Linked DNA regions of Saccharomyces cerevisiae S288C. The protein of the gene in region 2 purifies or fractionates together with the protein of the main gene of each other region. This does not show direct contact. Each region holds a gene or a part of one and is shown on either strand. Other genes may lie near its edges.

Region 1 (4,906 bases), on a different chromosome or scaffold from region 2:
ATAAAGAGATAAGGGATAGAGACATAAATAGACATCTATACACGTAGTGAGTAACAACGGATACTACTACACATACAGAAAAAATGGACTACAACATATTTGAGGCGGTACATGAACAACAAAGCAGCACATCTGACATGGATCTCTCAGAAGAAGATAATAATCCATTCGTCGGCACTCATCACCTATATGCTTCTGGAATTGGGACTACTATCGGCGAAGCTCGCCCAGAGAACGAAAATTCGCCCCCTTCTTCATCGTCTTTGCCATCTAGCCCGGCACATTCCTCTTCTGCTGGCTCTTCCAGAGCATCTACGTCATCTTCAACCTCTTCTCATGCCGTAGTGGAAGCAGATGCGGAAACTGAACCTTTTGTTTCCTTGTCGATGTCTACTACTGCTACTATTAGCAAATTTACTCCCCACGATATGAATGGGACACAGCAGATCCAAATCATTGATGCCGGCGATTTCAAAGATCCATGGGGGAAACACGCTATCGGTTACGTAATTCTATATGAAAACAACAAGATTATCAGAAGGTACTCTGAATTTCATTCTTTGAGGCAATCTCTAACTAGACTCCTTCCTACGATAATTATTCCACCCATTCCATCCAAGCATTCTCTTCTCAAATACATATGGAGTCCCATAAACGCAGCAAATGATTCCAAAATTATCTCCACCAGGAAGAAAATGCTCAATTCATTCTTGTCTAACTGTCTGAACATTCAAGAAATAAGCAACGATATTGTTTTTCAAAAATTTCTAAACCCTGAATTTAATTGGAAAGATGTTTTAAGTTCGTCGCCGATAATCATACTACCTTTGAATAACCTTTTAGCTCCACCTTTAAGCCCAACAAAACCAAGCCCCCTTCATTCTATTTTACCTATTCCATCCAACTCGTCTCTGAGAAACTATAATTCGATTTGGCAACAACACATCACAGTAAAAAGTCATAATGAAATTTCCAACCTCCCAACAGAAATTTTACAAAACGAATCTCAATTTACACATATTGAAAATTTATTCCAAAATTATAAGCGAATAATCACCCATTTATTAAAAAACATAAGATCAAATAAATCTCATTTCCACTCCTTGTCCACGTATTTTGCTGAATTAGGCGCATATTATAATGCTTTTAGTTTGGAAAATGACATAACCATGCCCAACAGCCTTCGCGAATCTGAAAACAATTCAAACAACCCAATGATGGAAATTATTAGTCATATTGAAAAGACAGGCCATTCATTCGATGTTATATACATTTCTTCCGAGATCTTAATAGAAAAGTACACCTCTATTCTTGAGGACCCCATTAATGAGTTATTGCAGTTCTTAAATGAGTCATTCAAAGTTCTAAATTTCAAGAAATTAAAGTTTTTGCAATTTAAAATATTAGAGAGGCTAATTATCGAAAAAGAAACGAAACTTTCGAGTCTCACTGAGATTGAAAACCAACTGCAGAAGATTAATGAAAGTTTAACGCGGTCGACTATATTGACAGATGAAAATTACAAAGATACAAAGGCTGCTGACCTGACATTTGTTAAAAAGGACGTAAGATCGCTATCGAAGTCAAGTTCAAATTCAAGCTCCAGTGGACACCAAAACGAAATTCATATAGGCGCAAGTAAACTAAACTATAAAACGTCTACGCCAACAATGAATCTCAATAAATTAGAAATCAAACAATTGACTGAACAAGAAAGATCTAAACAGATCAAACAGTTGAACCAAGATTTATCCAAATTGAAAGATTGTCTATCAATCTGTATATCAGACATGCTAGAAATTAACAATTCGTCATACAACAGCTTAATGCATACATATAACCATATTAATTTGACCATTGGAAAGATCTTGAAACTTTTCGCAGCTAGCTTCAAAGCATGGATCAAAGAATGTCTGAAGAATTGGAAACTGGCAAAGTTACAAATCGACGAGGCCCTATAAAAAGCATTACCGTCACGCATCGTGTTGCAAATAGCATATACATATATATATATATATATATACATATAACGTATACGTTAGAAAAATTTGAATACACACATTCATTTATCCTATTATTATCATTTTCATTCTTACCCGCTCCCCGCTTTCATCCGGTGGCAAAAGTAAGAACAAATAAAAGCTAGACCTAGATTGAAGAAACTATTAAGTACCAAAAAGCAAACAGTGGGCACACGCGAGGAAACCACATTATATTTCGCAAGATGTTTAATAATCATGAAATTGACACCATATTAAGCACTCTCCGCATGGAGGCAGATCCCTCTTTGCATCCTTTATTCGAACAATTTGAGAAATTTTATGAAGAGAAATTGTGGTTCCAATTGTCCGAATCCTTGACTAAATTTTTTGATGATGCTAAATCTACACCATTGAGGCTCAGATTATATGATAACTTCGTTTCTAAATTTTATGATAAAATCAACCAATTGTCAGTAGTAAAGTATCTACTTGCCTCTTTGAAGGATTCTAAGGATTTCGATGAGTCTTTAAAATATTTGGATGATTTGAAGGCTCAATTTCAAGAATTGGACTCTAAAAAACAAAGAAATAATGGATCAAAAGACCATGGTGATGGTATTTTGTTGATAGATAGCGAAATTGCTAGAACTTACCTGTTAAAGAACGACCTCGTTAAGGCAAGAGATTTATTAGATGATTTGGAAAAGACATTGGATAAAAAGGATTCCATTCCATTAAGGATAACAAACAGCTTCTATTCTACAAATTCCCAGTATTTTAAATTTAAAAATGATTTCAATTCTTTCTACTACACAAGTCTATTATACCTTTCTACCTTAGAACCATCTACAAGCATTACTTTAGCCGAACGTCAACAATTGGCCTATGATTTGAGTATCTCAGCATTGTTAGGTGACAAAATCTATAATTTTGGCGAACTATTACACCATCCAATAATGGAAACTATAGTCAACGATTCCAATTACGATTGGCTTTTCCAATTATTAAATGCTCTAACCGTTGGTGATTTTGATAAATTCGACTCATTGATAAAAGTTCAAATATCAAAGATTCCTATATTGGCTCAACATGAATCATTTTTACGACAAAAAATTTGCCTAATGACATTAATTGAAACAGTTTTTGTCAAAAATATTAGGATGCTTTCATTTGAAGATATTTCAAAGGCTACACACCTACCAAAGGATAATGTCGAACACCTGGTCATGAGAGCCATAAGTTTGGGTCTATTAAAGGGTTCTATTGACCAAGTAAATGAACTCGTTACCATCTCCTGGGTCCAACCAAGAATCATAAGTGGTGACCAAATTACAAAGATGAAGGACAGACTGGTTGAATGGAACGATCAAGTAGAAAAACTGGGCAAAAAAATGGAAGCTCGTGGCCAATCCATCTGGGTTTAGGCCATTGGCAGTTATATATAAAACACACACGCACACATATATATAAATGCAGAAATAAAATCAACTATCAACAAATATTGTCAAAAATATACTTCGCAACTTTACCATTCTTATAAACATCATTATGCAAACCCAAATCGTCCAAATACAACTTGAAACTTAACTGATAATCCTGAAGACAAGAAATTAAACAATTAGTTTGTCTTAACGTTAATAACTCGTCGCTATAAGAATGCACTAGGTGCATATCAATACTGAAGCGAGAAAGGGCTTTCTTCACGTAAGGCATTACTCTCGAGGGCTCTTCCTCGTACATTTGAATACCATCAGGGAAGGCAAGTCTTGTAAAACAATCATACTCTGGGTATTCTACCAACAGTTCCTTTAACGAGTATATACCATCCAATAGAAATACTCTCTTCACGATCTGCAAAAGTCCCAACATTTGCAATTGCGCTTCACTCATTTTTTCTTGAGGATCTTTGAGTGCAGCTAATATCTGCCAAATAAAGGTAGCTCCAACGGAATGTCCCACCATATTAATGTTCGTTAATCCCTTTTCTTTAACAAGCCTTGTTATATTTGACACAGCATCATATAAGTTTCTTGGATTTGTGATCTCTGGTGATAACCTGTATTCTATAGAGTATTGACAAACCGTTGACTCAGTATCCATTGATTTGATGGTATTGGCTAATTGATTAAAATCATTGGGCGTATTCTCAGGATCGTTCCATGCACCTCCATGAATGTATATGACAGCCTCTCTAGTGTTTTGTGAGATTTCTTGGAATGTCAATGTCTTGTTGAATAGTGTTATATCTGGTGAAATGGCTCTTACGGTATTTGACATATTCACGACAGCCTCTGAGCTTTTCCTTGCTTTGATTTTTTAGCTTGAATGGATTGCAACTTGTTGTAATCTTACAATCGTTAAAAATTTTACCATGCCGTGCGTGCTTTATAGAATATTGAACAATATTCTTTTAGGTATAGATTGATTAGTTTACATACTTTCTTTCTTAATATCTACAATTTTTATATGAGAAGAGTAACATTAGAAAACAAGTGCAGAGCATATTCTGTGCATCTATTCCTTAACCTTAGGTTTGGACCATTCAACACGTAAAATTAAATTCATATAACCCCTACCATCCAAGAAACGTAAAGCTTGTTCGGCAACTTCTTCGCTCGAAAAGGTAACAAAGGCGAGACCTCTTGATTTACCTGTTTCTTTGTTTCTAACGACAGAAACTCTTGGAATGGGTGCGAATGGGAACAATAACTCTTCTCTCAAACTATTTTCATCGGCATTTTCATTAACTTGCATAATCTTCAAAGTACACATATCATCACGTTCTCTAGAGTCTCTGTAAGCATCGGATGAAGGATCTCTTGCACCAGCACGACGAGAAGGTGGAACATACTGCCCTGGGATGGAACCAGCTCCGCCAACTTGGCCTGCCTTCTCTTCACTGGCGGCCTCGACACCGCCTTCAT
Region 2 (5,988 bases):
ACAGTTCAATCTAGCAGAGAGAGAGCCAAAAGATCCTTGCTCACCGCAACGTGACGAAATATTAACGGCTGTAGATGAAGAAGAGAGTGACGACGATGACACCATTATCGATAATCTGGATCTGCCCTCCGTGAAGTATGCTCCGCCAGAAGTTATCCTTTGTATACTAATACTTCTGAAGCCCGATAGACAAGTAAACTTCAATCAGGAGACAGGGAAGAACAAATCTGTACTGGAGGTTTGCAAGAGTCATGGGCTGGAACCCGATCTGCTGAAAAGACTTTTGACTTGGTATACAGAAGAATGGCCTAACAAGAGGTTAAACTCGTTGGAAAAGATATGCAATAAAATCCCAATGCTGAGATTTACAGTATCCAAAGAACTACTGTTGGGCTACTATACTAGTGTATTGAAAAAATACAATAATAGTTGCGGATTGAATGAGGAAATCATACAAGAACTTCTTAAGGAATTGAGCTCAAGGATATCCGAAAACTGTGGGAGAACGGCCCAACCATCCATAGTAAGATATTTTGAATTAAGAAATCTAAGCACTTCCATACCGCTTCATGAACCCTCTTTAACGGCCGATAATCTTGGTTGGAAAACATGGGGATCATCTTTAATACTTTCACAATTAGTCGTAGATCACCTGGATTACCTACATACCACTAATGTGAACATGTTAGCGAACAGCGACATCAAACAGATTAAAGTATTAGAATTAGGAGCGGGCACTGGTTTAGTAGGACTTTCATGGGCCTTAAAATGGAAAGAACTTTATGGAACTGAAAATATAGAAATCTTCGTGACGGATTTACCCGAGATTGTGACGAATTTGAAGAAAAATGTGTCATTAAATAATTTAGGAGATTTCGTTCAAGCAGAGATATTAGATTGGACTAATCCTCACGATTTTATAGATAAATTTGGACATGAAAATGAATTTGACGTCATATTGATCGCCGACCCGATATATTCGCCTCAGCATCCGGAATGGGTAGTTAACATGATATCGAAGTTTTTGGCGGCATCAGGGACCTGTCACCTAGAAATACCTTTAAGGGCAAAATACGCCAAAGAACGAGAGGTTTTGAAATTATTACTAAAAGAGAGTGATTTAAAAGTAGTTGAAGAACGGCATTCAGAGGGTGTGGATGATTGGGGTGCCGTTAAGTATTTATATAGGCAAATCGTTCGCAATTAGTGGGAAAGAAACGAACGCGCTTAGGCGAATAGTTTTTCTTTATAATAAAAATCATGCATGCTACATAGACATTGAAATGTGAATTATAAGTACTTGCCAGACCTTACATACTGATTTATACAATTTATGGAGAAGAAAACTGAATGGGCCACCTCGCCAAAAGGTTAGTTTTTGATTCAGACAGGAATCAATACTGGTAGTACATTAAACAATCAAGGCCGCCTTTATAGTTGCGCTTATGCAACATAATCATCTGCAATCTGCAATCTTAGTTTCACTGCCTGTGGAATAATTTTTTCCGTTAACTGCTTTGGAGTATTCTCGCAATAAAGGTTCATACCATACACTTAACTTTTCTTCACCTTTGTCCAGTAAATTTCTCAAGGCAGAATTCCTATAATGCACAGTCTCAAGATCTATAATAGCACCTGCGCTCCCATCACCTATCAAGCTGCCCATCACCTTTGGCATCTCATTGAGCAGAAATTTTGAAGTGTATTCGTATCTCGTCAAGGTTTCTACTACTTGCATTTGTTCTAAGTACGGTAGTCTTAAGACAATCTCAGCACTAAACTTGTTTCTTATAGCATTGAAACATTCTTCATCTGCTGAAAGATTTCTCAACATTCCAATGCTGTAGCCACTGACGTGAAAATAGTTTTCGACCACATCTTTATGATATTTTACCAAGTACTGCGGATTAATTAATTCCAACCACTCGGTTATTAATTTTGCTTCGGACCCAATTTTTAAAGAATCTTTGTCCATAGTCTTGAATAAAGAATATTCATCTTCCTCAATTCGTGACACCTCTGCGAATAACTGTAAAAGACAATTTGTAGAAAAGGCCCTGACATCAGGATAGTTCTCCGTGTCTTCAAAAAGTTGAGCAAATACTGGCAGTATTTTTTTTACATGTCTTAAAGCCCAGTATTTATCTTGATTTCGTATTTCCAGCAAAAACTTAGTATAATAATTAACCAATTCGATGAAAACGAGGATATCTTCAACGGATTTCAGTATCTCTTCTTTAGTAAAGCAAAATATGATATCCTTGAACTCAGGACCGCTGATGAATTGAAACTCAATAGTCAAGAAGTCAATTAATCTGACAAAAGAAACCGTTTCCATTCTACCCTTTACGCTCACCAGGTATGGCAAATTATTATCAAATAATCGACGCCTAATCAATTCATCTGTACTCAACCTTTCCAACGCTTTTTCGATTGCTGTAATGAGCTTATCATTCTCCACTTTCTCATCAAATAGAATATCCAATAGAATATCGATGATATTACTGGTCGCGAATAAACCCTTTGGCTGCGAATTCTCAATGACTCTACATGCTGCTACTTTTAATGGATCTATTTCTGACCTAAGGGCCTTCACTAAGTCCTCCGCGCTATAAACTTCTAGAACATCGTCAAAATCAGCCATGGGAACAAGCTTGTCCACAACGTCCAAAAGGTAATCGTAATTCAATGAATCATAGGATACGTTAGACGTCAGAAAACGCTTGATCGTAGCCAGTAGTGGTTTAACATCCATATCTGGAAGGGAGACAACAGTCACAAGATTCAAAGAACATTTCCTTAATAGTGTGTTGATATCTTCAGGCAAGTTATCTTCATTAAGTTCATTTTCTAATTGCGTAAGGAGATTTTCCACGTAATTTGTTTCTTTCTCACTCATTGCTCCTGTTTCGCTGAGTTCTTTTGCGGTGATTATAGTTGTAAACTTGTTTTATTTTTAATCCCGTAATTAAGGTGTTTATATAAACTTACTCTTCAATTTTTCTATATGCATTTGAAACAGAAAAAAAGATATAAAAATACCAGCTATAACAAAAATCCATGTAAATAAAATTACTGTATATTTTTTTATGTAATCTAATCAAAAAAAATTCACGTCTAATACTAGTCATAAATGGAGTTGAAGCCATTAACTACTTATTTTTTATCTTCGTCCTTTTTCTTTTCTAAATGGACATTATTACCATTAAAGGTTGTTGGGTCTTCAGGATCTTCTTGATGATCGTTGTTAACAAATTGGAAAACATTTGGCGAGACAGAACGTGACGTAGTAAGGTTGGTTTCCGATGGGTACCTGGTTCCGCTAGGTGTCAGCATTGGTGATGCATGAGCAGATGATTGAACTGGTTCCCGAACATTGTTGTATTGGAAACAGCTTGACGAAGCAGCTCCAGATAAAGGTGTTGAAGACCTCACTTCGTGACGATTCGGCTTCGATGTTTCCTCACGTTGTGATGTTACTTCAGGATCTTTATCGTTGTGCCACCACGTAGAGAATCCCTTATAAAGACGGCCCAAAAGGCTTGGTCCCTCCATCCCAGTCACAGATAGCCCCGAGTTTTGAGTTTCTAGTGGTTTAAGTAATAATGCAGACCTTGGAGTTAGTTCTAGTGTCTCTAGCGTCTTCAATTCATCAGAATCCTTAAATGTCACTCTGGGAATGCCCCTGTGGAATGAGTACGGGCAGTCTCCATCTGTCCTGTTGACGTCCACCCATTTTCTAACGTCATTTAATGTTTCAGACGAGTTGAACTCATGTTTTAGAGTCTTGCCATCAGTCATCCTGATTTGCAAGACGCATTTGCTGCTGTGCAGTTTTTGTGCGTCTTTTATGTAATCATGAACATCCAATGGCTTATCATCATCAAGGGTTCTGTGATGAGTTTCATCAAGAGCTTTTCTTTCTGCACGGTCTGCCCTAACAAGTCTTATAATTCTTTCTCTTTCCTCCTCAGCCAGCTTTCTTTGTTTCAGTTGTTCACGACGTTGGATCTCTAAGGTAGTCTCAGCAATCCGTTCTCTTGCATTTTTCCTATGGACGTCTCTGGATGACTTTTCTTCTCTAGCCAAACCTGGATTGGTTTCCCTGGACGAACTCTCACCAGCCTTTTTGTCTTTGATGCCTATGCACGCCAGCAACTTCTCCCAATGTCGGTCATCCTCGCCTTGAATAATCAATTCTATCTTTCCAGCACGTATCAAGTATATACTGGGTACAACTACATTAGGAAATACTTGCTCAAATAACTGGAACTGCTCAGTGTCTTTGACCAACCTCAACCAAATACTATGTTCCGCTAAAGTATCTAATGAGACATCATCTCCTTTAAACCAACTTTTCAGCCACTGGTCATCCCGTGCAGTGTTGTAAACGGCCAGCACAACGCCTTCCTTGATGGAATCGTTTATTGCTTCTTCCACAGAATCTCTAAACAGTGCTTCTAACATTTGGTTACGGCTGTTTGGTTTAGCTATCCTTGCTTCTTTGTAAGTGCTTTCAACCTCAACCCAGCTCCCTTTTAAATTTTCAACATTACTACGAGGCCTGCCGAAGTTAATAAAGAGCGGCTTTAAATGTCATTTTAATAATTGAATGGCAAATAAAAACAACTACAGCTTCAAACATAAGAGTATATCATAAGTTGCTGTATATGGGCAGCACGTATTACTATGAGTCTCTCGCAGGTGTCACCTTTACCCCATATCAAGGATGTTGTTTTAGGAGATACAGTAGGCCAAGGCGCATTCGCCTGCGTTAAAAATGCTCATCTTCAAATGGATCCCTCCATTATTCTAGCTGTTAAATTCATTCATGTTCCCACTTGCAAAAAAATGGGACTCAGTGACAAGGATATCACAAAAGAGGTTGTTTTGCAATCGAAGTGTTCTAAGCATCCTAATGTTTTGAGACTTATCGATTGTAATGTCTCTAAAGAATATATGTGGATAATTCTGGAGATGGCAGATGGTGGTGATCTATTTGATAAGATTGAGCCTGACGTTGGAGTTGATTCCGACGTGGCCCAATTTTACTTTCAACAGCTCGTTAGTGCTATTAATTATCTGCATGTAGAATGTGGAGTTGCTCACAGAGACATCAAGCCTGAAAACATCTTACTCGATAAGAACGGAAATCTGAAGCTAGCTGATTTTGGGCTCGCCTCTCAATTTAGGAGGAAAGATGGTACATTACGTGTATCCATGGATCAAAGGGGTTCTCCACCCTACATGGCTCCTGAAGTATTATATTCTGAAGAGGGTTATTACGCAGATCGAACAGATATATGGTCTATTGGCATCCTCTTGTTCGTATTGTTGACTGGTCAAACGCCTTGGGAATTACCTTCATTAGAGAACGAAGATTTCGTCTTTTTTATTGAAAATGATGGAAATTTAAACTGGGGACCCTGGTCAAAGATAGAATTTACTCACTTGAACCTACTCCGAAAAATTTTACAACCTGACCCAAATAAGAGGGTGACATTGAAGGCTTTAAAGTTACATCCTTGGGTATTACGTCGAGCTTCATTTTCTGGGGATGATGGTCTCTGTAATGACCCTGAACTCTTGGCTAAGAAACTGTTTTCTCACTTAAAAGTCTCACTGAGTAACGAAAATTATTTGAAATTCACTCAAGATACAAACTCTAATAATAGGTACATTTCTACTCAGCCAATTGGTAACGAATTGGCTGAGCTTGAACACGACTCAATGCATTTCCAGACAGTTTCGAATACACAACGTGCATTTACCTCGTATGATTCAAATACGAACTATAATAGCGGAACAGGTATGACACAAGAGGCTAAGTGGACGCAATTCATAAGCTATGATATCGCTGCCTTACAGTTTCATTCTGATGAAAATGATTGTAATGAATTAGTAAAACGACATTTACAATTTAATCCGAATAAACTTACCAAGTTCTACACGTTGCAACCTATGGATGTTTTGTTACCGATTTTGGAG

What was found. The genes of interacting proteins can lie anywhere in the genome.
Region 1: the proteins of HSM3 (region 2) and RPN9 purify together in Saccharomyces cerevisiae (affinity purification with western blotting; 6 studies listed by BioGRID, with this or other methods). This does not show direct contact.

Annotation. Positions count from the first base shown.
Region 1 is NC_001136.10:1,319,981-1,324,886, forward strand, and holds RPN9 (proteasome regulatory particle lid subunit RPN9), read left to right. Parts: upstream 1-2,224; coding exon 2,225-3,406; downstream 3,407-4,906. Other genes in the region: SNX41 (Snx41p), read left to right, coding at 84-1,961; BNA7 (arylformamidase), read right to left, coding at 3,474-4,259; TIF35 (translation initiation factor eIF3 core subunit g), read right to left, coding at 4,497-4,906. UniProt on the Saccharomyces cerevisiae protein: Acts as a regulatory subunit of the 26S proteasome which is involved in the ATP-dependent degradation of ubiquitinated proteins.
Region 2 is NC_001134.8:744,905-750,892, forward strand, and holds HSM3 (Hsm3p), read right to left. Parts: upstream 2,900-5,988; coding exon 1,457-2,899; downstream 1-1,456. Other genes in the region: EFM2 (S-adenosylmethionine-dependent methyltransferase), read left to right, coding at 1-1,207; UBX7 (Ubx7p), read right to left, coding at 3,157-4,467; serine/threonine protein kinase CHK1, read left to right, coding at 4,690-5,988. UniProt on the Saccharomyces cerevisiae protein: Involved in DNA mismatch repair in slow-growing cells. Acts as a chaperone during the assembly of the 26S proteasome, specifically of the base subcomplex of the 19S regulatory complex (RC).